7 linked regions of the Macaca mulatta genome follow. The protein of the gene in region 5 binds, or shares a complex with, the protein of the main gene of each other region. Links are inferred from orthologs where the notes say so. Each region holds a gene or a part of one and is shown on either strand. Other genes may lie near its edges.

Evidence for each region.
Region 1: SNRNP40 (region 5) and SART1 share a complex: the UniProt entries of both Homo sapiens proteins name them as parts of the U4/U6-U5 tri-snRNP complex. The link is inferred for Macaca mulatta from reciprocal best matches to the Homo sapiens genes SNRNP40 and SART1.
Region 2: SNRNP40 (region 5) and ARMC7 share a complex: the UniProt entries of both Homo sapiens proteins name them as parts of the minor spliceosome. The link is inferred for Macaca mulatta from reciprocal best matches to the Homo sapiens genes SNRNP40 and ARMC7.
Region 3: SNRNP40 (region 5) and SNRPD2 share a complex: the UniProt entries of both Homo sapiens proteins name them as parts of the U4/U6-U5 tri-snRNP complex. The link is inferred for Macaca mulatta from reciprocal best matches to the Homo sapiens genes SNRNP40 and SNRPD2.
Region 4: SNRNP40 (region 5) and PRPF8 share a complex: the UniProt entries of both Homo sapiens proteins name them as parts of the U4/U6-U5 tri-snRNP complex. The link is inferred for Macaca mulatta from reciprocal best matches to the Homo sapiens genes SNRNP40 and PRPF8.
Region 6: SNRNP40 (region 5) and RNF113A share a complex: the UniProt entries of both Homo sapiens proteins name them as parts of the pre-catalytic and catalytic spliceosome complex. The link is inferred for Macaca mulatta from reciprocal best matches to the Homo sapiens genes SNRNP40 and RNF113A.
Region 7: SNRNP40 (region 5) and CDC40 share a complex: the UniProt entries of both Homo sapiens proteins name them as parts of the postcatalytic spliceosome P complex. The link is inferred for Macaca mulatta from reciprocal best matches to the Homo sapiens genes SNRNP40 and CDC40.

Annotation. Positions count from the first base shown.
Region 1 is NC_133419.1:8,455,648-8,459,988, reverse strand, and holds the start of SART1 (U4/U6.U5 tri-snRNP-associated protein 1), read left to right. Parts: upstream 1-1,504; 5' UTR 1,505-1,551; coding exon 1,552-1,864; intron 1,865-3,590; coding exon 3,591-3,648; intron 3,649-4,057; coding exon 4,058-4,113; intron 4,114-4,341. UniProt on the Homo sapiens protein: Plays a role in mRNA splicing as a component of the U4/U6-U5 tri-snRNP, one of the building blocks of the spliceosome. May also bind to DNA.
Region 2 is NC_133421.1:84,791,146-84,795,539, forward strand, and holds the start of ARMC7 (armadillo repeat-containing protein 7), read left to right. Parts: upstream 1-1,486; 5' UTR 1,487-1,559; coding exon 1,560-1,650; intron 1,651-1,733; coding exon 1,734-1,877; coding exon of another isoform or gene 1,878-1,909; exon of another isoform or gene 1,910-2,281; intron 2,282-2,582; exon of another isoform or gene 2,583-2,616; intron 2,617-4,394. UniProt on the Homo sapiens protein: As a component of the minor spliceosome, involved in the splicing of U12-type introns in pre-mRNAs.
Region 3 is NC_133424.1:58,226,571-58,230,805, forward strand, and holds the start of SNRPD2 (small nuclear ribonucleoprotein Sm D2), read right to left. Parts: upstream 2,838-4,235; 5' UTR 2,734-2,837; coding exon 2,732-2,733; exon of another isoform or gene 1,999-2,731; intron 1,523-1,998; exon of another isoform or gene 1,427-1,522; intron 907-1,426; exon of another isoform or gene 590-906; intron 363-589; exon of another isoform or gene 249-362; intron 1-248. Other genes in the region: QPCTL (glutaminyl-peptide cyclotransferase-like protein), read left to right, coding at 3,548-3,754. UniProt on the Homo sapiens protein: Plays a role in pre-mRNA splicing as a core component of the spliceosomal U1, U2, U4 and U5 small nuclear ribonucleoproteins (snRNPs), the building blocks of the spliceosome.
Region 4 is NC_133421.1:3,240,482-3,244,801, forward strand, and holds the start of PRPF8 (pre-mRNA-processing-splicing factor 8), read right to left. Parts: upstream 2,810-4,320; 5' UTR 2,738-2,809; intron 2,539-2,737; 5' UTR 2,528-2,538; coding exon 2,428-2,527; intron 1,668-2,427; coding exon 1,499-1,667; intron 228-1,498; coding exon 63-227; intron 1-62. UniProt on the Homo sapiens protein: Plays a role in pre-mRNA splicing as core component of precatalytic, catalytic and postcatalytic spliceosomal complexes, both of the predominant U2-type spliceosome and the minor U12-type spliceosome.
Region 5 is NC_133406.1:209,565,208-209,569,571, reverse strand, and holds the start of SNRNP40 (U5 small nuclear ribonucleoprotein 40 kDa protein), read right to left. Parts: upstream 2,818-4,364; 5' UTR 2,806-2,817; coding exon 2,665-2,805; intron 1-2,664. Other genes in the region: ZCCHC17 (zinc finger CCHC domain-containing protein 17), read left to right, coding at 3,136-3,255, 3,804-3,815. UniProt on the Homo sapiens protein: Required for pre-mRNA splicing as component of the activated spliceosome. Component of the U5 small nuclear ribonucleoprotein (snRNP) complex and the U4/U6-U5 tri-snRNP complex, building blocks of the spliceosome.
Region 6 is NC_133426.1:126,364,685-126,367,973, reverse strand, and holds RNF113A (E3 ubiquitin-protein ligase RNF113A), read left to right. Parts: upstream 1-1,318; 5' UTR 1,319-1,533; coding exon 1,534-2,568; 3' UTR 2,569-2,675; downstream 2,676-3,289. UniProt on the Homo sapiens protein: Required for pre-mRNA splicing as component of the spliceosome. As a component of the minor spliceosome, involved in the splicing of U12-type introns in pre-mRNAs. E3 ubiquitin-protein ligase that catalyzes the transfer of ubiquitin onto target proteins.
Region 7 is NC_133409.1:15,228,402-15,232,700, reverse strand, and holds the start of CDC40 (pre-mRNA-processing factor 17), read right to left. Parts: upstream 2,807-4,299; 5' UTR 2,789-2,806; coding exon 2,600-2,788; intron 1-2,599. UniProt on the Homo sapiens protein: Required for pre-mRNA splicing as component of the activated spliceosome. Plays an important role in embryonic brain development; this function does not require proline isomerization.

The sequences.
Region 1 (4,341 bases), on a different chromosome or scaffold from region 5:
AGAGGGCGTGGGCCCTTAAACGGGTGCATACATATCCCAACCCACGCTCACATCCCAACACACGCTTATATCCTAACACATACTCATATCCCAACACACGCTCACATCCTAACACATGTTGAGTTGTGCAAGGCAGGGAGCCACAGACTGAGCAACCCTTGGGTGAGGGGAGGGGTTTCAGGACCGATTGGGATTGTGCGCACTGGGCTTTTTTTTTTTTTTTTTTTTTTTTTTTGAGACGGAGTCTCGCTCTGCTGCCCAGGCTGGAGTGCAGTGGCGTGATCTCGGCTCACTGCAAGCTCCGCCTCCCGGGTTCACACCATTCTCCTGCCTCAGCCTCCTGAGTACCTGGGACTACAGGCGCGCGCCACCACACCCAGCTAATTTTTGTATTTTTAGTAGAGACGGGGTTTTACCATATTGGCCAGGATGGTCTCGATCTCTTGACCTTGTGATTCGCCTGCCTCGGCCTCCCAAAGTGCTAGGATTACAGGCGTGAGCCACCGCGCCCGGCCTGCACTGGGGTTTTAAGTCCCAGTAGTTTTTTTTAGGGCTCCTCTCCTCAAGAAAAAAACTCATACACACAGATGTGCCACATTTTGCATTCAATTTCAGGGGTTCCAAGGATACACTGACGCTCATGTGGCGCTCCTTCAGTCTTAACAGTTCACGGGGCGCGGGTTTAAAAAATCCAATCCAGGGCTGGGCGCAGGGGCGCATGCCTGTAATCTCAGCATTTCGGGAGGCCAAGGCGGGTGGATAGCCTGGCTTCAGGAGTTCGAGACACCCCCCGCCCATCTACAAAAAAATACAAAAATTAAAGGGGCGTGGTAGCGTTCATTCGTAGTAGTCCCAGCTAGTGGGAAGGCTGAGGGGGTAGGATCACTTGAGCGCGGGAGGTCGAGGCTGCAGTGCGCCGTGATCGCGCCACTGCACTCCAGCCTGAGCAACAGAGTGAGATCCTATCTCAAGGGAAAAAAACAAAACAAAAAAACCAGGGAACGTGGGAAGGAAGCGTTCCCTAACGATACTAGTTATAGCGGGTCGGAAACTGGGCTATGGAATTTGAGATAACGGGAAAACAACACCCGTTGAAGCCACGACCCTAGGAGTCCACTAAGCGAGCGCCCATTGTAGGAGGGAGGTGTCTACGGAAAGGCCGTGAGGTAGTGAACACCCCGTTGTCGGTGAAGTGCAAGCGCAGGGATGCCGGGGAGGAACTTCCAGCCACGAAGACACTGGCTTAATGCCCTCTAAGTCCTTCCAGTTCTGGGATCCCATCTCCGGGTTAATTCCGCTTCCCTTGAGTAGCGAATGCACAACGGGACCACTGGCTCAAAGAACCCACCCGACCCGCGACGGCGCGAATGTGCAGTGGAGCAGTGATCCCGGTCTTCCCATGAGCCTCTGGGGCCGGCTCCAGGGCGAGCGACGGAAGCAGCCGCTCTTAGTTTCCGGCAACACGACAGCGGCTGCCGAGCGACCCGGAAGTATTCCCATTTTGCGTTGTCTGGGCTCGGCGGTAGCCGGGCTTGGAGTGGACGTGCCACTATGGGGTCGTCCAAGAAGCACCGCGGAGAGAAGGAGGCGACCGGGACGACGGCGGCGGCCGGCACCGGGGGCGCCACCGAGCAGCCGCCGCGGCACCGGGAACACAAAAAACACAAGCACCGGAGTGGCGGCAGTGGCGGTAGCGGTGGCGAACGACGGAAGCGGAGCCGGGAACGTGGGGGCGAGCGCGGGAGCGGGCGGCGCGGGGCCGAAGCTGAGGCCCGGAGCAGCACGCACGGGCGGGAGCGCAGCCAGGCAGAGCCCTCGGAGCGGCGTGTGAAGCGGGAGAAACGCGATGACGGCTATGAGGCCGGTGAGGAGGCGGGGCCTGCGCAGGGGGCGGGTCGGGCAGGGGTCCCAGAACGTGCGGGTCTGGGTGTGCGCACAGTGTCAGCAAAGCTCTCCGGATCGGGAAACCCCCAGACTGTCTATATCAACTCTTATTAAATAGTCTTTCTACGGGATCCCATGAGCCCAGGAGTTAGAGGCTGCAGTGTGCTGCGATCCCGCCAGTGCACTGCAGCCTGGGCAACAAAGCGAGACTCTGTCTCAAAAAAGCTTTTCTACGATTGTTTGGGATTAGAGGTAGACTGTCTCCACCTGGCTCCTTGAGGATAGAGAGCTTCCGTTTTTCTCAGTTGTCTGGTACAGTCACAGATTCTCAATAAATGTGTTGAATGAATGAATGAAGTAGTGTCAGCATATGCAGAGACAAGAAAAACCTGGTATTTGACGAATCGTATTGGACGAATCGTGTAGGGCTCCTGGTAGAGAAATGAAGGAGTAAGATAGGCAGGGATGTGAACGCAAAGGATCCTGTACTGTAGGCTCTGTTAAGAAATGTAGATTGTCTTGACAAGGTAGTAGGGAGCCTTGGCTGTGAGTTGAGGAGTGAGTTGCTCAGATCCGTATTTTGTAAACATTACTGGATTGAGAACTTAGTCAAAGGTAGTCAGGATTGGAGACCAGGAAATCAGGAGGGCTACAGACCAGGTGAGGGCTGATGGTGGCCTGCACCAAGGCAGCAGCAGTGGAGTGGAGAGAAGTGGACAGGTTGGAGAGGTGTTTTAGAGGAGGAATGAACAGAACTCAGTACTTGTATGAGGGTGGGAAGGAGAAGGAATTGAGGATGACTCCTTGAATTTTGGCTTGAGCAGCCAGATAGGTAGTGGGTGTCATTTCTACTGAAATTGAGGAGTAGGGAAGAGAAGGAGATTTGGAGCAGGGTGGGGGAAGATAATTCACTTTTGGGGTTGTCAAGGTTTATGTGCATAGGGAAATCCAGAGTTTGGACTGGATAAAGCCATTGGGAGTCAGTATCTGGGTGGCCAGTGAAGCCCGCGAAAGAATGCGACATGAGAAGCCGGGGTCAGGAATAGAACCTGAGAAATGCCCTTATGTTAGTAGTAGGCAGAGAAAGATGTTACCAAAAAAAGGAGATAGAGTAACCAAAGAGGCAGGAAAACCTTTGTGTCATGGGAACTTTGGAAATAGAGTATTGTTAGAAGGAGGGAGTGATCAGCAGTCCCATATACCACAGGAGATCAAGGAAAACCAGAACTGAAAAGAACCCGTTAGATTAGAAATGAAGGAGACTGGTGACTTTGGGGAGCCTGGAGAGATTGGGATCCAGGGCCCAGGTGGAGAGTGGAGCCTTTAAGATACAGGATGGGAATGCAGGAAAGGAAGAGGTGTTTTTTTTTTTTTTTTGAGACAAAGTCTTGCTCCATCTCTTTAAGAGACCTTGTCTCTTAAAAAAAAAAAATGAAAGAAAAAAGGAGAGGGCAGAATGGTGACTGTAGCAGTTTGGATCTCTTGGGTCAGGATAGGAAGGTGCGCAGAAGAGGCAGGGCTCTGAGACTGGACTCGGGCAGAGGAGCTGCTGGGGAGCTTGGGTGGAAGAAGCTGCTGTTTTCTGGTGTTTCATCAGGCCCAGGTGCTGGTGAGGGGCCCTCATCTTTGATCCTGCAGTTGGAGGCACTGATGCTGGCTTGTTGGCCCTATGTTCAGCTCCTGAGCCATGCTTCTTCTTCTTCCAGCTGCCAGCTCCAAAACTAGCTCAGGCGATGCCTCCTCACTCAGCATTGAGGAGACCAAGTGAGTACTGTCTCCCTTGTTTCCACTTTGTTTTTCTAAGATAGGTGGCTCTGGGGCCAGCCCTGGGGAGGCTTTCTCACATGAAAGTGTGCTAATTGGAGTTGGAAAGGTTGTATAGATCATTTTAGCCAACAGTAGAGTTATAGAAGAGGAAACTAATACCTAAGAGTAAAGTGGCATTCACCGGTTAGATGCAGACCAGGCTGGCGCCCATGTTTCCTGCTTTGGAGGCCAGGGCCCTTCCCAGTGTCCTAGGCTTCCTGGGGCAGACCGTGTGTTTGGGACCGCTCACTCCCACCCTGTTTCTTCTCCTGTCTGTTTGGAAATGCACATGGCACCCTGTGTCTTTGATAGCCCGTAACACTTGTATCCTTTGATAGCCCCTAACACTTGTATCTCTTGTTCTCAGTAAACTCCGGGCAAAGTTGGGGCTGAAACCCTTGGAGGTCAATGCCATCAAGAAGGGTGAGCATGGGGCTGAGGATGGGGTTTGGGGGAGAGGGCCATCTGAAGGGGTCTTTGAAGAAGGTGGGATTAGAGGGCAGGTTCAGCACGGTTTAGTGGTCTTACACATGCATATTTGCCGGAAGGCACGAGGTCCCTTCTTGCTGTTCTAATGTGGACCTGGGGCTCTGCTTGTTTTCTGAGTTAGAGCCGTGGCCTTCGCATACTCACTCTGGCTGTGAGGTGTTG
Region 2 (4,394 bases), on a different chromosome or scaffold from region 5:
TGTTTTGAGATAATTATCCTTAGGTAGAAGAATTAGTAACAAGGGTGACCAGTTCAACGTTGGACAGGAAAGTTGCTGGGCAGATGGCCATTCAAAAGTATGTTTTGTGCAAGGTTGGGGTTTTTGCAGAATCTTTGTGATAGTTTTCATTATCAGATATTTATGCATGAGAACCCTCTTGTCATGGTTTTCTCCGACTCTGTCCGGGTTTTTTTGTTCTGTTTTTTTAACACAAGTGACTCCAATTAGATTAACAACTTTTGCATTCTCAGGACACTCACAGCCTAAGCCACCTCTCTACCCCTACGTTGTCAAACGCGATGGGAGTGTAGTAAGGCCACCTCCTTCCCTGGTGCTTTGTTCCCTGTAACCACGAGTAGTAATCCATCACACACCTGCTTCCCGAGAATCCTCGAGAAGGAATCGGCCGAAGGGCTTCAGCATCCAGAAAGCCCCGAAAGCGCCACAAACAAGGCTCTTCCTCCGGCTCCCCGGTGCTGCCCCGGGCGCGCGCCATCCACCCGGCTGACAAAAAGCACCAGGACATGACCCCGTCCCCTTTGATTTCTGTCCAGAGGTGGCGGACTCACCTCGGGGCTGGGATAGAGGACGGGTCGGGGTCGCTACGCTTTTTGCAAAAGGGTCAAAAGACTGATGGGGGTGGGTAAGGAGCTGACGCCCGCGCTCTAAAGGGGCGCCCCGCCAGCCATGGGGATCCTGGAGGTGCTTCTGCCTCGACGTCCTCCCAACATGGGTGCTGCCAGACTCCGTTGCGCTCCTGAGTTGCTCCTCACGTCATTCCAGCCGCCCGACATGGGTGCCTCACTTTCGGCTTCTGGGCCACGTCGGGGCGGCGGAGGACCCGGGGGGCCGGGCGGGAGAGTGGGAAAGGTGGGGCGGGAAAGCCGAGAGAGGCCCTCACCCGCCTTCCTGTTGGCGGGGGCGGCAAGTGGGTTTCTTTCTTGCGTTCAGATTTTGCAATAATTTGCAGCTGGACATAGGATATGGGAGACAAGGCTGCTCCTCGCAGTACACCCACCCACGCCCATACCTCCCTCGGCGAAGCGTGTCGCAGCGGGTTCCAGCGCAGGCTAAAGAGCTTCCGCAGCCAGAAAACCGAAAGCGCGCCGCGCACGCGCGCCAAGGAGTTCGGCGACGGCCCCGCCCTTCGCCTGCCTCGTCCCGCCCCTTCCGCGCCTTGTAGGGTGGGGACAGCGCGGCTTCCGCCGGGAGCCTGGAACCGAGCCCGGCAGCCGGGGGCTGGGCGCCAGTACCCACTCCGCCAGCCCCAGCCCGCAGACGGTTCCCTGTCTCCCGCGCCCCAATTTCGATTTTCAGACCCAACTCCTACAGGATTCTGAGACCCCGGCCCATCTCCCCACATTCCATTTCCAGCTGCAAATTACTGCAGAGTCTGAACCCAAGAAAGAAACCCGTTTGCCGTCCCCGCGTCTTCCCTCGCCAGACAGGTGGAGAGTGGGTGAGGGTCTCGCTCGGCTTTCCCCCTGCACCTTTCCCACCCGCCCGCCCGTCCCTGGGGGTCCTCCGTCACGCCGGCCATGGCCCAGAAGCCGAAGTTGGACCCCCACGTCGGGCGTTTGGGATACCTGCAGGCGCTGGTCACGGAATTCCAGGAGACCCAGAGCCAAGGTGAGAGCCACGGTGGGACCAGGTGACAGGGTCGGCTGTGACCGCCGCCCGGACCTGGCTCCAGTGCCGCTTTCCCGTTGCAGACGCCAAGGAGCAAGTCCTCGCCAACCTCGCCAACTTCGCTTATGACCCCAGCAACTACGAGTATCTGCGGCAGCTGCAGGTCCTGGATTTATTTCTCGATTCGCTGTCGGAGGAGAACGAGACCCTGGTGGAGTTTGCTATTGGTAAGGGCTGGGCCCGTTCGCTAGATGGCTAAATGGGCCGGGGTGAGGTAAGTGAGTTACAAGTGAGTCCTTGGGGCCTGGCGTGGTGGCTCACACATGTAATCCCAGCACTTTGGGAAGCCGAGGCGGGGGGATCACCTGAGGTCAGGAGTTCGAGACCAGCCTGGCCAACATGGCAAAACCTCGTCTCTACTAAAAGTACAAAAATTAGCTGGGCATGGTGGCGAGTGCCTGTAATCCCAGCTAAGCGGGAGCAAAAATTAGCCGCACACAGTGGTGTGCACCTGTAGGCCCAGCTACTCTGGAGGCCGAAGCAGGAGGATTGCTTGAGTCCGGGAGGCAGAGGCCAAAGTGAGCTGAGACTGCGCCACTGCACTCCAGCCTGGGCGACGGAGTGAGACCATGTCTCAAAAAAAGATGTTTTAAAAAGAGCAGTTTTGTAGCCAGGCGCGGTGGCACACGCCTGTAATCCCAGCACTTTGGGAGCCCGAGGCAGGCGGATCACCTGAGATCAGGAGTTCGAGACCAGTCTGGCCAACATGATGAAACCCCGTCTCTAACTAAAAATACAAAAATTAGCCGGGCGTGGCGGGCGCCTGTAATCCCAGCTACTCGGGAGGCTGAGGCAGGAGAATCACTTGAACCCGGTAGGCAGAGGTTGCTGTGAGCCGAGATGGCGCCACTGCACCCCAGCCTGGGCAACAGCGAGACTCCGTCTCAAAAAAAAAAACAACAACAATTTCAGGTGGGTGAGGTGGCTCACACCTGTAATGTCAGCACTTTGGGCGGCCGAAGCAGGCAGATCACTTGAGTCCCGGAGTTCAAGACCGGCCTGGCAAAAGCCCATCTCTGCTAAAAAAAAAAAAAAAAAAAAAAAAATTAGTCTGGCGTGGTGTCCCAGCTACTCAGGAGGCTGAGGTGGGAGGATTGCTTGAGCCTGGAGGACGAGGCTGCAGTGAGCTGGGATTGGGCCACTGTACTCCAGCCTGGGTGACAGAACGAGAATCTGTCTTAGAAACAAAAGTAACTCATATTTAGTGTTTTCATATCAGGAGAAGCAGAGATGGCTTGCAGTCTGTAACTTACGGCTTCTTTTGTAGTTATGATCTTAAGACCTATTGATTTATTCACTGGGCAGATATTTACTGGGCATGTACCGTATATGTAAACTACTGCTCTAAATGCTGGAGTATGGTGAACAAGTTAGGGGAAGTGTTTGCCCCTCAGGAGCTTACATTCTAGTAGGGGGGACAGGTGGTTAGCAAACAAAAAAGATGATGCTCAGCAGCAAATAAATGGGGTGATGAGAAACAGCAGTAGAAGGTGGTGGTTACTTCTGTTTTGGCCATCATGAGAAAGGCATTTTAGCAGGGACACAGCATGGGCAAAGGCCTTAAAACAGGAAGGAGCCAGAAGGAAGATGAATGTGGCAGGATCGTTATAGTGAAGTGGAGAATGGCACAAAAAGAGGATAGAGAGTTAAGCAGCACCAGAGCTTGCCGGAGCTTAGATCTAGGCCGTGGGAAATAGTTTGAAGCAGACAAAATTTTGAGAACAAACAAAAATCCCTTTTTCAAGCCATGCACAGTGCTCATCTGTAGCCCCAGATAGGAGGATCGCTTGAGCCCAGGAGTTTGAGGCTGTAGTGTGCTACGATTGCATGATTGCACCTGTAAATAGCCACCGCACTCCAGCCTGGGCAACACGCGCGTGATCACCTGGCTGAAGTCTTGTCAGGCTTCTCCACTGTAAAATTACTCTTTCTTTCCCCTCTTTACGTATTATGTATTATACCCATTGGAAGGAAGTCACTACATAAATTATCTTAAATCTTTTTCTTTTTTTTGAGATAGGGTCTCACTGTGTCACTTAGGCTGGAGTACAGTGGTGTGATCATAGTTCACCATAAATTTAAACTTCTGGGCTCTAGCAGTCTTCCTGCCTTAGCCTCCCGAGTAGCTGTGACTACAGGTGGACACCACCATGCCCGGCTTTTTTTTGTTTTTAATTTGTTTTCGAGAGGATCTCACTGTGTTGCCCAGACTGGTCTCGAACTCGGCTTTTTTTTTTTTTTTTTTTAATTTGTTGTCGACACACGGTCTCACCGTCTTGCCCAGACTGGTCTTGAACTCCTGGCCCCAAGAGATAAATCGCTTGTAACCCTAAACAGACCCTCATTTCATAACACTGATTCTTGAAGGCCCCAACCAGGAATGCAAATGTTCCCCCTTCCGGTTTGTCTCATTGCCTCTTTGTGGTTTGTTTCTTTATCCCCTTTATTTCCTATAATCTAGAAATTGGGTTGAAAGTCTTGATAGGATCAAGTAACACATTTTATTTTATTTTATTTTATTTATTTATTTATTTATTTATTTTTTGAGACGGAGTTCGCTCTGTCGCCCAGGCTGGAGTGCAGTGGCGCGATCTCGGCTCACTGCAAGCTCCGCCTCCCGGGTTCACGCCATTCTCCTGCCTCAGCCTCCCGAGTAGCTGGGACTACAGGCGCCCACAACCGCG
Region 3 (4,235 bases), on a different chromosome or scaffold from region 5:
CTCGTGATCCACCCGCCTCGACCTCCCGAAGTGCTGAGATTACAGGTGTGAGCCACCGCGCTCAGCCAGACATTTTCAACTCTGCATGTCTCAGGTCGGGATCCAGATCACCCAACCACCGAAGCCTACCCTATCCACAGTGTTCCCCATCTGCCTTCTAGTTCTCTGGGCAAAAACTCTTTGTCAACTTGATTCCTCTTTTTCCCTTGCATCCTACAATAAATCTGTAGGAAGTGGCCATTTCTTACCATGGCCTCAGCCTCTGTCATCTCTGACCTGGAATCTTTCCGGTCTCTCTGCCTCCACCCATGTTCCCTGACAGTCTGTTCTCCACAGAGTGGTCTGAGGGGCTGTGCTAAAACCTAAATCATAACATGTCACTCTTCAAAGCCCTCCCAGGGGCTGGGTACGGTAGCTCATGCCTGTAATCCTAGCACTTTTGTGGTGCAGAGGTTGCGGTGAGCTGAGATCGCGCCACTGCACTCCACCCTGGCAACAGAGCAAGACTCCGTCTCAAAAAAAAAAAAAAAAAAAAAGAAAAGAAAAAAAAAGAAAATGTCTGTTAGGCATCCAGCTGGTGATGATTCACAAGGCGGGTGGATCACTTGACGTCAGGAGTTCGAGACCAGCCTGGCCAACACGGTGAAAACCCATCTCTACTAAAAATACAAACAAAACAAAAACAACAACAAAAAATTAGCCAGGCGTGGTGGTGCACGCCTGTAATCTCAGCTACTTGGTAGGTTCTGGCAGAAGAATCGCTTGAGCTCAGGAGTCGGAGATTGCAGTGAAGCGAGATCATGCCACTGCACTCCAGCCTGGGCAACAGAGCGAGACTCTGTCTCAAAAAATAAATAAATACAAATTAGAAAATACAAAAATTAGGCTGCATGTGATGGCTCACGCCTGTAATCCCAGCACTTTGGGAGGCCAAGGGGGGTGGATCGCCTGAGCTCAGGAGTTCCAGACCACCCAGGGCAACATGGTGAAACCCTGTCTCTACTAAAAATACAAAAAAATTAACGAGGTGTGGTGGCGCATGCCTCTAGTCCCAGCTACTTAGGAGGATGACGCAGGAGAATCGCTGTAGCCCCAGCAGCGAAGGTTGCAGTGAGCCAAGATTACACCACTGCACTCCAGCTTGGGTTACAGAGTAAGACTCCATCCCCCACCCCCAAAAAAAAAGTCGCTGGGCATGGTGGCGCATGCTTGTAATCCTAGCTACTTGGGAGGCTGAGGCAAGAAGATCACTTGAACCCAGGAGACAGAGATCGTGCTACTACACTCCAATCTGGGTGACAGAGCGAGATTCCATCTCAAACAAACAAAAGAAAATCCTCCCATGCCCCCCCGCCATCTCAGTGTAGAAAGTAAAACCCCGGCCAGGCATGGTGGCTCACGCCCGGCCAGGCACGGTGGCTCACGCCTGTAATGCCAGCACTTTGGAAGGTCGAGGCAGGTGGATCATTCGAGGTCAGGAGTTTGAGACCAGGTTGGCCAACATGGCGAAACCTGGTCTCTACTAAAAATATAAAAGTCAGCTGGGCATGGTGGTGGGTGCCTGTAATCCTAGCAACTCGGGAGGCTGAGGCAGGAGAATTGCTTCAACTCGGGAGGCAGAGGTTGCAGTGAGCTGAGATCGCACCATTGCACTCCAGCCTGAGCAACAGAGCAAGGCTATGTCTCGGGAAAAAAAAAAAAAGATTTTTTTTTTCCTTGGGAACAAAAGGTTTCATTCACTGATGTATCCTATGTGGCTTAAGCAGTGTCTGATACATAAACATTCAATGTAATATTTGGTGCACTAATAAATGAGCAAAATCATGCCAATCACTCGTTATCCCTTTAAGTTGTGAATTAGGTCGAAAACGCATCTGTCTCCAGCTCAAATGATCAGGAGAAGTCCCTTATTTCAAATCATTATTTCTAAAAGTCCTAACTTCCCTTCCCCAGTATTCGTTTTGATTTCTTTTGTTTCGTTTTGAGATGGAGTCTTACTCTTCGCTCAGGCTGGAAGTGTGCAGTGGTGCAATCTCGGCTCACTGCAACCTCCGTCTCCCGGGTTCAAGCGATTCTCCGGCCTCAGCCTCCCAAGTAGCTGGAATTACAGGGGCCCGACACTACTTCTGGCTAATTTTTGTATTTTTGGTAGACACGGGGTTTCACCACAATGGCCAGGCTGGTCTCAAACTCCTGACCTCAGGTGATCTGCCCGCCTCGGCCTCCCAAAGTGCCGGGATTTACAAACCTGAGCCACCGCGCCCGGCCTCCCCCAGTATTCGTAAAATCGCTGCCCCTTAACATTCACTTCAATAGGACTAATTATCTAGGACCCCCCTCCGTTATCGTTTAAAATATGTTTTTCATAATTAAAAAAAATTTTTTTTTGTAGAGACGGGGGTCTCGCTATGTTGCCTAGAGTAGTCTCGAAACTCCTGTGTTCTAGCGATGCTCCCGCCTTGGCCTACTAAAATGCTGGGATCACAGGCATGAGTCCCCGCGCCCAGCCCAGCGCGTTATCTGATAAAGCTGTCCCCTCTCCCGAAGTCACGATGCGTCAAAGGCCCCACGCCCGTTCTCAAACTCATCAGGAGAAAAGCAGGACGCTCCATCCCTAAAACATCTGCCCCTGTCCCCCACCCCGCTCTCTGCTCAACCCTTCCCACCCTCAATAGGTCAAAATTTCCACCCTCAACCTCCTTCCCGCCGCCTAAGCCTAGCCCGGCCTCACATGATGGTCACTAAGCTCTCCGTTCACTCCCGTTTCCTCCGCGTTGCTGCAGCCTGAGGCGAGAGAGGCGGGACTTCCTCTTCCTGCGACCCACTTCCGTTGGCGCCTGCGCAAAGCCAACCAGTAAGTGGAGGCGTGGCCTGTTGCCATAGCATTGCCCACCAACGGTGCACAATGAAAGAATAAAAGCCTCGAATAGGGGTTCGAGGCCAGTCAGAACCACACGGGGCAGATGTTTATGACAATGAAGACAAAAGGAAAGGCGGTCTGATTCAAACCGTTTCGTTGAAGAATGGTACAGGTTGAAGGAGGGAAATGACAAACTATTTCCAAATGCCCGCCGGCCGTGACTTCGGGGGCGCGGCCTCCGCTGAAGCCAATCCGCTCCTCGCTTCGGAGACAGGCACCGCCCCTCTTCCCTCTGGGACGGGTTATTGACGTATCTACTGATCTTTCCGACCCTGCGCCACCAATCCCCTGCCTACATCCGGGAGGGGCATGGACCTGCGCCCGAGAGATTGAATATTTTCCACGATCAAACGCTGCTCATTGGCTTTCCCCCTCCGCTAAGGCGGAGCCTATCTCTTTTGCGCTCCCTTTTGGGTCGTGCCATTCTCAGAAGAACCAACCCCAATACCCAAGGGAGGCCGGGAGGCGTGTCCTCAGGACCGTAGCTCTTATTGGTTTCGCTGCTCGCTGTGGGGTGGGCAGGTGCAGCCGCTGCTGTTGCTTATTGGCCCACTGATTCCATGGGGTGGAACTTGGCTGGGCCTAAACTCAATCGTGGTCTGGTACAGGTTTCAGGGCATAGCTGCCATGCGTTCCGGGGGCCGCGGGCGGCCCCGCCTGCGGCTAGGGGAACGTGGCGTTATGGAGCCACTCTTGCCCCCGAAGCGCCGCCTGCTACCGCGGGTTCGGCTCTTGCCCCTGTTGCTGGCGCTGGCCGTGGGCTCGGCGTTCTACACCATTTGGAGCGGCTGGCACCGCAGGACTGAGGAGCTGCCGCTGGGCCGGGAGCTGCGGGTGAGGCTGGGCGGGGACCCGGGCACCGCGGGGACCCTCATTCCCTCCCCGCTGTTACCCAGGGTTGACTTGGCTTTAGCGTACGGCCCTAACCGCAGATGCCACAGTCTTCGTCATCTGAGCGCATGACCCTTACCAAAGGAATAAGGCTTCGGGCTGGTTTTACAACAGTAGCTTCCTTTTATGAGGAAAGGTCTGAAATAGTAAGACGAGGGGGTTCAGGGTTCTACGCCTTTAGTCAACTATTTGGAAGAGTCCCTTCCTCCATCTCCCCTCTCTCTCACTGGGCCTCGATTTCCCCATCAAGTTTGAGGTAGGCTGGACCGGATGGTCTTGGAAGGACTTTTTCTGAGCCTTGGATTTATCCTAGAAGTCTCCGATGCTGGAGGCCGCAAATTAGAAAGAGGACCCGGGGCTGCTTGTGGGTGACGGCGCCCGGGGTAGGGATGAAATGGTGGGTTGCTCTCATTCTTCCCTTCCC
Region 4 (4,320 bases), on a different chromosome or scaffold from region 5:
CATTTCTACCCACTGCCCCCAACCACCACCACCACTGCCCACCATATTTCAGCCTTTCTCACCCCCACTGGGAGATGTAGACAGGTTCAATAACCCAGGGAATCTCATTGACGAAGGAAATGGCTCCAGTGATGTGGTACAGCACAGGCACATCCCGAATCTGCTCCCAAGGCATAGGCATGTTCTCCAGGAGTTTGAGGACTGCGTGGGGCATGTACTTTAGGGCACTGGCACATTAGAAAAAGAGAAGGCTATTAGAAATGACGAGGTGTTCTGCTACCTGTCCCATGCAGAGAAGCCACACGTTCATGTTCCACAGTAAATCCTACCTTACAATCCAAACTCCCAGACTTAGCCCATAGGCCCTTCCTAACCAGAAACCCTGCCTCTCCCTCTACAACTTCATCTTGCAGCACTCTTCTTTTTTTTTTTTTTTTTTTGAGACGGAGTCTCGCTCTGTCGCCCAAGCTGGAGTGCAGTGGCCGGATCTCAGCTCACTGCAAGCTCCGCCGCCCGAGTTTACACCATTCTCCTGCCTCAGCCTCCCGAGTAGCTGGGACTACAGGCGCCTGCCACCTCGCCCGGCTAGTTTTTTTTTTTTGTATTTTTTAGTAGAGACGGGGTTTCACCGTGTTAGCCAGGATGGTCTTGATCTCCTGACCTCGTGATCCGCCCGTCTCGGCCTCCCAAAGTGCTGGGATTACAGGCTTGAGCCACCGCGCCCAGCCTCAGCACTCTTCTTAAATGTCATAGTCCCACAATGCTGGTATCAGCTCCTCTAAATCAACAGCTGTCCCTCTGGAGACAGCTTTGCGGCTGTCTCACATCCTATTCCCTCAGTATCTTCTCATAAATCATAATAAAGTATTCACCATACTTCACTATCACCAGTTGTCTCATGTCTGTCATGCCACTAGACTGCACACTGCAGAAAGGCGGAGATTGTTACCCTCTGCTCGCTACTATACCCCAAGCAGCCAGCACAGTTCTCAAACTATTTTTTGAAATAAACAAAACTTCCAGTTCATTACACGGCAAACGTTTTTGTGTCCAAATAGAGCAGGAATCTGCTAAGACATCTGTACCTGTACCCACCCAGTTTACAGCCACAGAAAAACAGCAGTAGGGATACCTCTGAAATTAAATACCCTAAACACAGAATTCAGGTCCCTGAGGAGTGACAGGCTGCCACTATGCACAGTCTCCCACTCTGGGCTTCAAACAGCTCAACGACAGGGATATCTTATAACAGCATCAACAGGACAAATTAAAGTCCCAGGCCCAGATCAGGAACAGAAGGGAAACAGACTGCGTAAGTGGAAGATGTAGAAATTATCAGAGACTCCTACTGGTTTTCTCCTTTCTCTTATATCCACCAAGATGAGCTGTCAAAGCAGCGTCCTGTTCCAAAATGACAGAGCATCTATCCAAGACTGTGGGACAGGGAAAAGGGAAAAGAACCAAATTCCAAATGAAGTTATTTCAGGATGTTCCTTACCCCAAGTAAACCCTTTTGTCATGGCGGAACTTTCTGTTGGTCATGTCTCCATGGTCTCGAATGATCTTCCTGACATGTTCCGGGGGCATGTCTTCCTTCTGGGCATCCACAAACCCAAACTTCCGCTTTTCTGCATAGCGCTTCGCCTGCAATTGCTGCCATTTTCGGGCTACAAAGGCACCTCAGTTTAAAGGACTGCACACCCTCAGCCTAATCCTCTTCACCTCTTGCCCTAGGGTAAGCTCCTGTCAGTGAGTGTGACAGAGGAGCAGGCATCCAGCAGGAAGCAACACTCCTTGCCAATTCCCTTACCACTTTACTATGTTTTTCCCTTCATCACATTTATTACTATCTGACTTTTTTTTTTTTTTTTTTGAGACGTTGTTTTGCTCTGTTACCCAGGTTGGAGGGCAATGGAGCGATCTCGGCTCACTACAACCTCCGCCTCCCGGGTTCAAGCCATTCTCCTGCCTCAGCCTCCCCAGTAGCTGGGATTATAGACACGCGCCACCACACACGACTAATTTTTGTATTTTTAGTAGAGATGGGGTTTCACAATGTTGGCCAGGCTGGTCTCGAACTCCTGACCTCAGGTGATCCGCCCGCCTGGGTCTCCCAAAGTGCTGGGATCACAGGTGTGAGCCACTGCGCCCGGCCTGACATTTTTATTACAGATCCTCAAGGTTTTGTTACTGTCTTTCTCTCCCGCTGTAATTTAAACCCCGTAAGGACAGGAATTTTGTCTCCATCACTACTGGATCAGCGCTTGCAGATAACACGCGCTTAAAATGACTTGATAAAAAGTTAAATGGGGCTAACAAGGGAGTTGTCACCTCGGGAGCTGCCCAAACGGGGAGGGTCCCCAGCCACCTGCGCGCGCGAACACCCGCCCCGCCTCCGGCTCGCGCGCCGCTCCACACTCGACTCACCTTTCTCCTGCAGCTTCTCCTCCGACATGTAGTCCGGTAGCGGGGCTAGAGGGCCGGGCACCGGGTTACCCGGCCCTCGGTAAGGAAATACTCCGGCCATACCCGGAGAATCTGGACAGCGGCGGGACAGAAAAATTCACTAACCACAGGCCCGGGCCCACAAGAAGCGCAGCAGAAAGGCGTCCGGGGACCCGGGCCTGCAATCCCGCCACACTGAGTGCATCCAGCCCCGCCCGGCCTAACCCCTTCGGTCACTCAGCCCGACCCGACCACGCCTCCCGCAGCCCGGCCTTAAACGCCTGCCACGCACCCCACAACCCCTCACACAGGGGGCCGCTTTCTCCGGAGCGCAATGGCGGCCAGTGTGCGTCCGCTCCGCGTTCCCAGCGCCGGAAAGTGCGCAACCCGACTTCAGCAGTTGATCCAATCGGCGCCGAGGTGCTCAGATGGATTGGTAAGATGGCCAATTAGAGTGGCACACTGCGCCGAGGAGGCGGGCCCACAGGCGGAAAGGCTTTGAATACAAGGGGGTGTGGTCGGGGAAGCCCCGCCTCCCACGTTTCCGAGGCTGTTCCTGAGGCCCCCGACAGACCTCAGTGTGTGATAGGCTCCCGGCGTCGCCCTGCGAGAGACCGAAGTCTGGAAGCTTTTAATAAATTTGCCAAGATTGCGCATTGTACGATGTCTGTTGTCATCAATGTATACGTGCAATGCAGTACTAGCTCCAGGACGGTCATTTGTTCATGCATTCATTCTTTTTTTTTTTTTTTTTTTTTTTTTTTTTTTTTTGAGACGGAGTCTCACTCTGTCGCCCAGGCTGGAGTGCAGTGGCCGGATCTCAGCTCACTGCAAGCTCCGCCTCCCGGGTTCACGCCATTCTCCTGCCTCAGCCTCCCAAGTAGCTGGGACTACAGGCGCCCGCCGCCTCGCCCGGCTAGTTTTTTGTATTTTTTAGTAGAGACGGGGTTTCACCGTGTTAGCCAGGATGGTCTCGATCTCCTGACCTCGTGATCCGCCCGTCTCGGCCTCCCAAAGTGCTGGGATTACAGGCTTGAGCCACCGCGCCCGGCCGCATTCATTCATTTAACCATTCTTTATTGAGTGCCCACTGTCTACCGAGGACGAGGGATAAAGCAGGAAAAAAGACAACCAGTAGGGTTCACAGGGGAGCAGAAAGAATCAAGCTCATTGGGGGGGGGGGGGGGCGGTAGCTCACGCCTGGAATCGCAGCCTTTTGGGAGGTTGAGGCGGGCGGATCGCTTAAGGCCAGGAGTCCAAGGCCAGCCTGGCCAACATGGTGAAACCGCGTCTCTACTAAAAGTACAAAAATTAGCTGGGCGTGGTGGCATGCACCTGTAGTTCCAGCTACTCGGGAGGCTGAGACAGGAGAATCGCTTGAACCCGGGAGGCGGAGGTTGCAGTGAGCCGAGATCGCGCCACTGAACTCCAGCCTGGGTTACAGAGCGAGACTCCGTCTCGGAAAAAACAAACAAACAAAAAGTCTGAAATTCCCACCAAGTTTATTGGGGAGGATGCAGAGGAATTGTAACCCATACAGCCCCTCAATCTAGTTGAGAATTTACAAATCAAAGTGAAATAATTAGAAAAAAAAATGCAAAGGATGTCAATGTGCTTTCAGAACGGTAAAAATTTTAAAACAATTCCTTTTGTTTTCTTTTTTAGACAGGGTCTCACTCTGTTGCCCAGACTGGAGTGCAATGGTGCGATCTCAGTTCACCACAACCTCCACCTCCCAGGCTCAAGCGATTTCCCTGCCTCAGCCTCCAGAGTAGCTGGATTACAGGCAGGTGCCACTACTGCTAGCTAAATTTTGTATTTTTAGTAGAGACAGCGTTTCACTATGTTGGCCAGGCTGGTCTCAAACTCCTGACC
Region 5 (4,364 bases):
TTGTGTGTGTGTTTTGAGACACAGTCTTGCTCTGTCACCCAGGTTGGCATGCAGTGGCGTGATCTCGGCTCACTGCAACCTCTGCTTTCTGGGTTCAAGGGATCTGGTGCCTCAGCCTCCCGAGCAGCCAAGATTACAGGCATGCACAACCATGCCCAGCTAGTTTTTGCATTTTTAGTAGAGATGGGGTTTCACCATGTTGGCCAGGCTGGTCTCAAACTCCCAGCCTCAAGTGATCTGCCTGCCTTGGCCTCCCAGAGTGCTGAGATTACAGGCATGAGCCACTGCGCATGGCCTATTTTTCTTTCTTATTTTTTTCATAGCGAAGGGATCCTCAGCACGGGTGAAGTAGTTTTGATTATGGTCTTGGACACTAAGATGACACTTGGGCAATTCATCTAAACATGGGCTGATATGCTCACTTGTCAAATGGGAGAAGTATACTACCCATAATCCCCAAATCTCTTCAGCACTTTCCAGCACATTCTTACTTATTTATTTATTGGGAAGGAGTCTTGCTCTGTTGCCCAGGCTGGAGTACAATGGCATGATCTCATCTCATTGCAAACTCCGCCTCCTGGGTTCAGGCGATTCTCCTGCATCAGCCTCCTGAGTGGCTGGGATTACAGGTGCCCGCCACCAAGCCCCGCCACATTCATTTAGTTTTAAAAAATGTTATGTGCAGGCTGGGCACGGTGGCTCACACCTGTAATCCCAGCACTTGGGGAGGCTGAGGTGGGCAGATCACTTGAGGTTAAGAGTTTGAGACCAGCCTGACCAACATGGTGAAACCCCATCTGTACTTAAAAAAACACAAAAACTAGCCAGGCGTGGTGGTGGGCGCCTGTAATTCCAGCCACTCGGGAGGCTGAGGCAGGAGAATCGCTTGAACCCGGGAGGCGGAGGTTGTAGTGCGCTGAGATCGCGCCATTCCACTCCAGCCTGGGTGACAAAAGCAAAATCCCATCTTAAAAATAAAAAGTTATGTGCTAGGCACTGGGCAAACAGCTATGAACAAAATAAACAATGGAGCTTGCTGTTCCAGTGGGAAAGGGGGAAGGGAGGAGAGAAGGTGAGAGAAAACAAGCAAAATATATACTTGGTGTCATGTGCTATAGAAAAAAAGAAGGGATGGGCAAGGTGGCTCATGCCTGTAATCTCAGCACTTTGGGAGGCCAAGGTGTGCAGATTGCTTGAGCTCAGGAGTGAAATCCTGTCTCTACAAAAAAATACAATACAATTAGGTGTGGTGGTCTGTGTCTGTGGTCCCAGCTATTCAGGAGGCTGAGGCAGAAGGATTACTTGATCCCTGGTGGCGGAGGATGCAGCGAGCCAGTGGTCAACACAGAGAGATTCTATCTCAAAAGAAAAAAGAGAGAGAGAGAGAGAGAGAGAGAGAGAGAGAGAGAGAGAGAGAAGCAATGTGGGTTCCACATTATGTGGTACTGCAATTTAAAACAGGGTGGTCAGGAAAACCCTCACTGAAAAAATTATATTTGGGCAAATATTCGCAGGAGCTGAATAATAAACCATGTGAACATTTGGGAAGAGCAATCCCATAGGGAGGACAGCAAATGCAAAGGTCCAGAGGCAGAGGTTTGGAAGAGAGTGTAACTGAAGCCGGGTGAGCAATGAGAAATTGGTCAGAGAGGTAAAGGGAAAGAGGACAAATAATTATAAGAATTTTGGTTTTTACTCTGGATGAAGTAGAAAGCCACCAGAAAGTTTTCTGCAGAATGTAATGTGATCCGTTGTTTAGAAGGATTCCTTTGGTTATTGGCTTGGTAACAGGTGCTGCTACAAAGGCAGAAAGTGGAAGACCAGTTAGGGTCCCACTACAAAAATGCCAGATGAGATAATAACGGCTTAGGCCATGAGGCAGTGATGGAAATGGTAGAAGTAGCAATTCTAGATCTATTTTGAGAACGGTGCCAGCAGGATTTATTGAGGAGATGAGAGGACACTCGTATTTCCTCGTCTGAGCCTAAACAGGGCATTAGAAGTGTGATCACTATTTCCATCTTACAAAAAATATAGTTAGGAGCATGGTTTCTCAGTTCAACATCTGTTTCTATCACGTGCTTGATAAGTCTGCTTTTCCATCTGCAAAATGGGTTAATAACGTTCCTAACAGGCTGCTACCAAGATCAATGGAAATTTCATATACGAAACACCTTAGTACAAGAGTCAACGAATGTTAGCTGCTATTCAGTTGTTAATAATACTAGTGCAGAGAAATAAAGGGAAAAGCAACTTGCCCAAAGTCCCAAAACGAGCCAACACCAATCATTTCCCTCTTTTCCTCCCTCCCTCATTCATTCATTCTACAAAGTCTTCGGAATTTCTGTTCTACGCTAGATCCATGTTAGAGTCAGGATGCTTAAGCCCGGGTCCGGGTTGTGAGCCCAAGGTTCTCAACGCTAATTCTAACGCTACCTCACAAGGCAGTCGAGAGGCTGAAAACCAGCGCCAAACGGGCGAACAAGTACTGAGCATCCGCAGGCTATGAGGCGCTTTTACAATGTTGGTGTGCTTTAACTCTAGGTAGAAACTCTCGTTCTGCCCCCCGCAATGCGGGAAGGGTCGGTGCCGGGTCACCAGATACAGCGCTCTGAGGGGAGGAAGATGAGCTGAGGGCCAAAGGCCGCCTGCTTCTTCACTTACCGCTTGCAGCAAAGCTCCCGGCGTCGCCTGCTGCTGCCCGGCTCCCGGGCCCGACCCCGCTCCCAGTAGCAACTCATGCCGCTGCCGCTTGACTGGAACCAGCGGCAACTCTGGGCCCTTACGCTTCTGTTGTTCTATCATGGCGGCAACCGGTCTCTTCAGCGCCGCCACTGACCGCGCTGCCCCCCTCAGGCGCCACGCAATTGGTTCCAGCTTAGTCCTTCCTCCACAACTTCCAGCTTGGAAGAACCAATCGGTTTTCAATATACCCATTTGCACTGCCCTCGGATAGTCTCTTGTTATTGGGCATATCTTTCTGACGTCATGAGAGTGCGATTCCAGGATTGGTGGACGGAGCTGGCGACCTCCCTAGGCGCGCTGGGTCTTGTGGGTGGAAACGCGCTGGCTGACTGGGCTCGGCGTTTAGTTCAGCGCCGGGACTCGGGGGCCTGGAGCTGACGCCTAGTACGTATGAGGAAGAGCTGGGTGGGTGGCAGCCTGAGTCTGAAGGCGACGCCTCGGTTGTGCAGTCTGAAGCTGCCCTTCTCAGCTGAGGGTGCCGATAGCAAGGGGTGGGAGGCGGGGCCCCGAGTCCCCAGCTGTGGTAAGTAGTAGCATGGGCTCCCTTTCCGGGCGGGAGCGGAGCCTTGGGGGTCTCTGGCGGCAAGACCCAGTCCCTGCGGCTCCCTTCTTCAAGAGCGCCCGTCGTGGCCAGTCCTGTGCCGGGCATTCCCAGGGAGAAAGGCCTGTGTCCCAACTTCCTCCGGCGCCCCGTTTGGCCGAGGAGGCTGACTTGTTTCTGCCACTGATTTTGCAGTTTTTGATTAGGGCCTAGTCTCTGCCCCCCTGAGAGAGACAATGATGAAGGAAATGTCCGACTCCTTCTCCAGAGCGCAGTCTTGTTGAGAAATTTGAGACTCATGCCCATGAACGTGGTCATTGCGTCAGTCGTCCAGCTGATATTTATTTAGCAGCGCGTTGGGGGTACGTCGTGAACCAGACACGGTCCCTACTCTCAGGGCGTTTAAGTCTGGTGGGGAAAACGTTAAACAATGACCTCACTAATACATGGAAATGCCTCCTAGTGCTGTTTGATGCTGAGTGCCTGAAATAAGCAGGAAGGTTTTTCAGAGGAAAAGATGCCTGCTCTGGTAGCTGCAGGAAGAATTGTAATTAATTAAGTGAAGAGGTAAAGGCAGAACCTTCCGTAGAGAACTACTTGTTCAGAGCCCTGAGGCACTTGGGAGGAAAAATGACTAAAAGCACAAAGAGCCAGTGTGACTGATACAAAGAGAATGAAGGGGAGTATGGTACAAGATGAAGCTGTACGTGATAGCGGTCAGACCTTGCAGGAATTTGTAGCTTTATTTTAAAACGGATGGGATACCACTGAGCCGTCTTCCCCCGGTGGGGTGTGGTGGAGGAGGGGGCTTGATTTCTCAGGCTCAGTGGTGTGAACAGATTGGGGCTGGGGAAGCCCTAGTCGATACATGTGGACCACTTAGGATATACAGTAATCCTGGTCAGAGATGTCAGTGAGGACTGAGAAGTGGGTGGAACTGCAGAGAATTGGACAGATTCTAGAGGTATGTAGGAGGTAAAATGGGCGGAACTTGGTGAAGGGTTGATTTTAGTGAGTGAAGACAGGAATCAAAGGTAACTCATAGGTTTCTGGCTTATGTAGTTGAATAGATAGATGG
Region 6 (3,289 bases), on a different chromosome or scaffold from region 5:
AGACCACTACACTTTAGGATTAAGTTGGTGACCGTGACTTCTTACACTATTTTAACCAACATGAATTTCTTTTCCTTTTTAAAAAAAAGAAAAAAAAAAGAAATATCTAGTTGTTGCCTTTTGGGACACTAAGAAACAACAGCTGTAGATCACACGTGGACAATCACAAATTCAAAAAGTAAATAAATTTATACTCTGTACTCTAGAGATGATGTGAAGGGCTAAGAGGGGAAAATGAATCCTGATGTAAAACACAAGACCTTGCAGTAAATTCCTAAACGCTTGCAAGAGAAAGTGGGGAATAAAAAAGTCAAGGGTGGCCGGGAGCGGCGGCTCACGCCTGTAATCCCAGCACTTTGGGAGGTCAAGGCGGGTGGATCACCTGAGGTCAGAAGTTCGGGACCAGCCTCGCCAACATGATGAAACCCCGTCTCTACCAAAATAAATAAATAAATAGCCGGGCGTGGTCCCGGCTACTCAGGAGGGTGAGGCAGGAAAATCTTTTTTTTTTTTTTTTTTTTTTTTTGAGACGGAGTTTCGCCCTTGTTGCCCAGGCTGGAGTGCAGTGTCGCGATCTCGGCTCACTGCAACCTCCGCCTCCTGGGTTCAAGCGATTCTCCTGCCTCAGCCTCCCGAGTAGCTGGGATCACAGGCATGCGCCACCACGCTCCACTAATTTTGTATTTTTAGTAGAGATGGGGTTTCCCCATGTTGGTCAGGCTGGTATCGAACTCCCGACCTCAGGTGATCCGCCCGCCTCGGTCTCCCAAAGTGCTGGGATTACAGGCGTGAGCCACCGCGCCCAGCCAGGAGAATCTCTTGAACCCGGAAGGCGGAGGTTGCAGTGAGGGATTCTCAGGCTTGAGCCACCTCTTCTAATCTACCTTTCCGGCCCCCGCGTCGCTACTCTGCCCTAAGGCCCACTTTGATACACCCAGAAACGCTGTTTTTCACCAGAGCAGGATGTGGTTTCTACCGCGCTTCGTTTCGCAAGCCTCGGCTTCTAGGCAACCGGAAGAAAATAGAGGGCCGGCCTCGGAGAGAGGGTCCGCAGGCTGACGGACTCTCTGCCCACCATCCTTTTCAGAAATCAGCCAGTGGAGTCAGCCCCCGGGCCCAGGAAGCCGCCTTACCTTGCCCCCGTTAGTGAACCTCTGGATGTACGCAGTAGCCAGTCCTGGAATAAACAAGCACACGCCCATGGCGGCGAGTCCGGGGAGAATCTCGAACCACATCTCTGCCCCGTTATCTAGGCCAAAACCCTACTTCTGGGTCCTTGAAAGGTGACCGGGCTTCGGCTCCCTTCCCAGTAAGCCCCGCGGCCGCCCGCGAGCGGGGCGGTGCCACGTACGGCTCCGGAGGAAGCGACGGGATCTGCCAGGGCTCAAGAGAGGCTGGCGCTCGCGCTCTCGCAGTTCTCTTCCGTCAGTGTCTTTTGCTTCGACTCCCGGCGGAGCGCGCGACGTGGAGTAACGCGCAGAGGCCAAGTGCAACCCAGGCAGCGACGGCCGTTTCGGAGCTCGGGACTCTAAAATGGCAGAGCAGTTTTCTCCAGGGAAGACGGCGGATCAGGTGTGCACCTTCCTTTTCAAAAAGCCTGGGCGGAAAGGGGCTGCTGGACGCAGAAAGCGCCCGGCCTGCGACCCAGAGCCCGGAGACAGCGGCAGCAGTAGCGACGAAGGCTGCACTGTGGTTCGACCGGAAAAGAAGCGGGCGACTCACAATCCAATGATACAGAAGACTCGTGACAGTGGTAAACAGAAGGCAGCTTACGGCGACTTGAGCAGCGAGGAGGAGGAGGAAAATGAGCCCGAGAGTCTCGGCGTGGTTTATAAATCCACCCGCTCGGCGAAACCCGTGGGACCAGAGGATATGGGGGCGACAGCTGTCTATGAGCTGGACACAGAGAAAGAGCGCGATGCACAAGCCATCTTTGAGCGCAGCCAGAAGATCCAGGAGGAGCTGAGGGGCAAGGAGGATGACAAGATCTATCGGGGAATCAACAATTATCAGAAATACATGAAGCCCAAGGATACGTCTATGGGCAATGCCTCTTCCGGGATGGTGAGGAAGGGCCCCATCCGAGCGCCCGAGCATCTACGTGCCACGGTGCGCTGGGATTACCAGCCCGACATCTGTAAGGACTACAAAGAGACTGGCTTCTGCGGCTTCGGAGACAGCTGCAAATTCCTCCATGACCGTTCAGATTACAAGCATGGGTGGCAGATCGAACGTGAGCTTGATGAGGGTCGCTATGGTGTCTATGAGGATGAAAACTATGAAGTGGGAAGCGATGATGAGGAAATACCATTCAAGTGTTTCATCTGTCGCCAGAGCTTCCAAAACCCAGTTGTCACCAAGTGCAGGCATTATTTCTGCGAGAGCTGTGCACTGCAGCATTTCCGCACCACCCCGCGCTGCTATGTCTGTGACCAGCAGACCAATGGCGTCTTCAATCCAGCGAAAGAATTGATTGCTAAACTAGAGAAGCATCGAGCTACAGGAGAGGGTGGTGGTGCTTCCGACTTGCCAGAAGACCCCGATGAGGATCCAATTCCCGTTACTTAGCTGTCTGATAATTCTTAAATTTAAAAAATAAATATTTTGTTCTTTTGGAAGTCTTAATTCGTGTCCTTCCTTTGTAGAGACAGTGACAGAGAAGGCGGGTGGTGAAGTAGGGTCCTGGATTAAAAACCTCAAGGTAGGTATAATCAGGATTTTTAGCCCTAGGATAACCATTTTGCCTGTGTTTCTTTTCAGAACATTTTGGCATCAATTATAGGGGTGGGAGTAGTTTGAGAAAAGAGCTATAATTTGCTTGAAGTAGCCAAAGCTATGACGAAAGTAAGAACTCTGAGCCTGTTTATCATATCACATTTCTGTATCACTTAATGGTTTACAAAGTACTTTCATGCATTCTTTCTCTTGGGAGCCTGTACTACAAAATATACCGGAGCCAAGGTGTTGGGGAGAGGGGTTGCGTTTGGGGAATTGGTAGCTAGTACCACAGGCTTCACATATGGGAAATGTTCCTTGCTGTCTGGGTTATTTATTTATTTATTTATTTATTTATTTATTTTTGAGACGGAGTCTCGCTCTGTTGTCCAGGCTGGAGTGCAATGGCGCTATCTCAGCTCACTGCAACCTCCGCCTCCCGGGTTCAAGCGATTCCCCTGCCTCAGCCTCCCGCGTAGCTGAGACTACAGGCGCTTGCCACCACGCCCAGCTAATTTTTTGTATTTTTAGTAGAGACGGGGTTTCACCATATTAGCCAGGATGGTCTCCATCG
Region 7 (4,299 bases), on a different chromosome or scaffold from region 5:
CCAGGGTCTCACAGTCCAGGGCAAAGAAAAAGATGAACAAGTCACGGCAATGTGCTAAGTGCTATAGTTAAGATATGATAAAGGGGCTAAGGTAGAATAGGAGGAAACGCGCAGTGAGACTGAAGGACCATAGTGTTTGGAATGGGGGAAGGAGGCACTAGGCAAGGGATTTCCAGGCAGAAAGACTAGCGTGGGCAAAATCTTCAGAGGAAGAAAGAAAATTTGGCTTTCAGGGCTTTGTAAAGAGTTCAGCATGGGAGAATAGCAGCCCTCACATGCTACCAAAAAAACTTAGAAATTACCCACTGGACAATACGGTGTCTTTGGGCAGGGAAGTGATAGGACGCAAGTGGAATTTACAAAGATCATTCTAGGTGCCCTGTGGAGAAAAGAATGGGGTATAACACTGGGAGACAAGAAAGGAAGAAGTAGAAATATCAGTTAGAAAGCTACAACTGTCTGAAGAGAAATGATGAGAATCTGAACTAAGCAGTGGCAGCAGAAGAGAGAGATTTGATGAATATCATTGAGTTAAAGTAGACAGGACCCACTATCCAAAAGAAGAGGCTGAAAGAGAAAGAAAAGAATAACTCCTGGGAGAAATAAGGAAGATATGAAGCCTGCACCAGTGAAAATAGTGAGGAAGGAGTTGATATGAGATAAATTAATGAAACAGAAATGTTAGAATCAATTGAATGACTAGCTTCAGGGGCTGAGGAAGAAGGAAGAGAAAAGGATACCTCCTTTGTTCTTGGCTTGAACTAGTGGGTGGATCGTGGGATCATAGATCAAAATGGGGAAAACAGAAATGGATTTTGAGGGAAAGAAAATAATTTTTCAACACACTGAACTGGAGGTGGCTGAGTGCCAACCTGCAAGAAACAAATGTACAATTACAGTGGGAGATTTTTATATACCTCTCAAGGTTGTAAGCTAGCAAGGAGGATAGAACTGGAAATAAAAGGATAGCAAACATGTGGCACTGTTAAAAGGGCTTTACATCTTTTATGGCAATTCTTATAATTCTGTTAGATCGGTACTACTGTTATTCCTACTTTACAGATCAGTAAAAATTAGGTGCTGAGCATTTAAGCAGCTTATCCAAGGTCCCCAGGTGGGTAAGTGCTGGAGGCAGGATTTGAATTACAGTCTTAATTCCAGAGCCTGTGCTAACCATTTCACGGTGTTCACCTTGAGCTAGGGGCAGCACAGACTGAGGTTGAAGGTATGGAAGAATATGTGGAATGCAAAGAGGACCAAGAGCAGAGTCCTAGGAAACACCAGTATTGAAAAGAGTAAAATAATTGGAACAGAATGCTGAGTAGAGCCCCATGGAAGCGAAACGGAGAGAAAGTTTCAAGAAAGAGGAACTAATGAACAGTGTCATTTGATGCAGACATTTAAGTCAGATGGCTGAACCTGACAACTGCAAGGCCTGGGACATCACTCACAGACAGTTTCCCAAGAGGGTAGGGCCAGACTGCATCGGGTTGAGGAGAAAATGAGATGAAGACAAAAAGAGAGCTCCAAAAAGCTGAGCTGTGAAAGGAGAAGACTCAGGAGGTTACTGGAGGGGCGTAAGTTTGGAAAGTTTTGTTTTGATAGGAAGTTAGGATTCTAAGCATTCTTTCATGCCAGATGCCCATTTTTAAAAAGTAAAATTCACAGACAGCTTGTTAAAAATCTGTAAAACACTCCTTAAGTCATTAAACTAGACTTGGGGACATGATACAAAGGAATTTTTGGACACCGCCTCCCATCTTCACATCTTGAGCTGATCACCTACCTCGGGCTCTACTGGGCCTACACTATCAATTGGTAGATGCTCTCATCAGGCTCTAGACACATCAGCTTTTCCTCAGTTCTTCAAACACACTAAGCTCTTTGCCTTCTCAGGCTTGCCTGTCACCTTTGCCTGGAAACTCTTGCCTGAATCAGCTTCCTCCATTGAGATCATGCAGCTGTTTCTCAAATCCAAGGCCTTTTTCTCACTGTATTAACATACATAATCATAAAACATTTACTGCACTCTCACTAGTTACCAGGCTCTGTGCTATATGCTTTATTTGTGTAATTTCACTCAATTTTCACACTCATCTTCTCATGTAGACAGGTGTTTTGAAAATGATCTCCGCTTGTACAGGTGAGGAAAGAGAGGAGGCTGCATAACTTGCCCAAGTTCACATAAGTGGTGGTGCCAGGATTAGAACCTAGTTTTTCAAAAATAAAACAAATCGAGGCCACTGCTCACTTCAAGTGAAGGTACAATACTCTAGTTTGGGAAGTCCTGATCTAATTTTATTTATGTTCCGAGATTACATCTGCACTTTACAGGCTATGTCCCTAATTCACAAATTCAAATTTCACCCCCTCTTTCCACTTGCTTTCTGATGGCGGGAGGTAAGGGCAGAGAGCATCGGGGGGCTATTCCGAACTTCCAATTCTGCTTCTCCCGAGGATGCATGTGGGAAGGAGAAGAAATTCAAACGTTAGCAACTTATCTCTGAGCAATGAGGTAAGCCGGGACCTAACAAGCGGCTGGCAGTTTTGGAGCTGAAGCCAACAATTCCCACACCGCATCAGTAGCAAAGGTGCTTACCTTAACTGCCACCTCCGGAGCCGAGTCCACTGCCACTGCTAGAGACGGCTTGGCTGAAGGCGATTTAGTCAAGTGCATGAGGGAGTCGGCGGCTGGCAGCGGACATCGACTGCTCTCACTGTCCGAGTCCGATTCGGACCCTGAACCCGAACCGTAGGAAGCGGCCAGAGCTGCAATCGCAGCCGACATGACGGCAACAAATCTTCTGCGGGGACCCTGTCAGGGCGGAAGAAGAGGAGGCTCCCAGGTCCTGACAGATTGCCATGGAACACATCATTAACTTTCTTTGCTAAGAAATAATTTCTTACATTTTAAAACAACAAGCTAATTATTATTAGAATAACTACTGTCGAAATGAGAGCTTAAAAAAGTTTATCTAGGGAAAAAGAGAGAATTATAATAGCTTATAACTTTCAGGACCTAGTTGACTAAAGAATACGAGTTCCAAAATACCTTGAGGCCTCGCGGTCCTGCACTCCCAGCGTGCAGCGCGGCAGGAAGCACCAGAGGGCACAATGGGAAGTGTAGTTTGGAACGAGGGGGCGGGACGGGGGCGGGTCCCTCCTTGACCCCGCCCCCGAATGGATGTTCCATTCAATTGGCTGTCATCTTCCCTCATTCCCTAGCCAAGCACTGTTCTCTCCGTCCCCCTCCCCCAAACTGAGGATTGGGCAATACCACAGAACCTCAGGAAAGGGGGGAAGAGCGAGCTTCGGCCCCACCGATGGAGGAGTGGGCCGAGGCTGGGTTTCCCACCTCGACTGCACCTGGGCACTCGAGGGTGAAGAGGAAAGTGAGAATCTGAAGTTTTGAGACCTCTGACTGGCCGGGAATAGCTCCTGGGGCACGGGGCAAGGATGGGACCATAGCCGGAGAGAGTCCCGCGGTCCCCCCTGCTTCTGGCGCGGGTCCCTGCGTCCGGTTGTGGAGCGTCTCGCGCGGGGAGGGGGCGGGGGGAGCGGCAGCTCGCGGTGTTGTTCACTCGCGCGTCGAGCACACGGTGGGTCCGGCGGCCGGTGGGCGCCCCAGGCGGCGTTCCCAGTGGCCTGGCGCCTCGGCCGCTGTCCTGAGCGGGTTCCGCCCCAGAGCCCGACCCTCCTGGGAGCCCTAGGTGGAGTCCCGCGAGCCGAGGGGGACCGGCGACCGCTGCCGAAGCATGAAGAAGGGGTAAGCGAGAGCCCCCAAGATTTCACGGTGAGCGCGAGTCCCTGAGGAATTGCTTTTTTCGGGGAGGGGGTGCTGGGAGAGGAACTCTTCCTCACCGGCCGGAGCAGACCGAGGGGTGTGTGGCCCGCATAGGTGACGGGGATGGATGGGCGCGCCTCCCCCGCCCCGGCCCCCACCCCCATCCGCGGGTTTCCCGAGCGCCCACCGCCCACCCGCCAGCCGGGCTGGGTGCAGAGGGAGACGGCGGCGGGCGCGCCCGGGGTTCGGCTGCAGGGACCGCCCCGGGGCTGCTTTCGCCGGAGAGACTGCGGGTCTCACCTGAGGTGCCACCGCCCGGGCTTCCCTGCCCACCCGCGCCCACGGTCCGCCCCGTGCCTCTTTCCGGGGGAGGCGGTAGCCCCGGGCGACAGAGAAACCTCTGCTCGCTCTACGTGCCTGGAGCTTAGTAAAGCCGGCTCGTGCGTTTGCGTGTTTGCTCCGCGAGTCGGTGTCTAAAGACATAACGGTAAAAAAGCGAGTGCAGGCATCCTTTT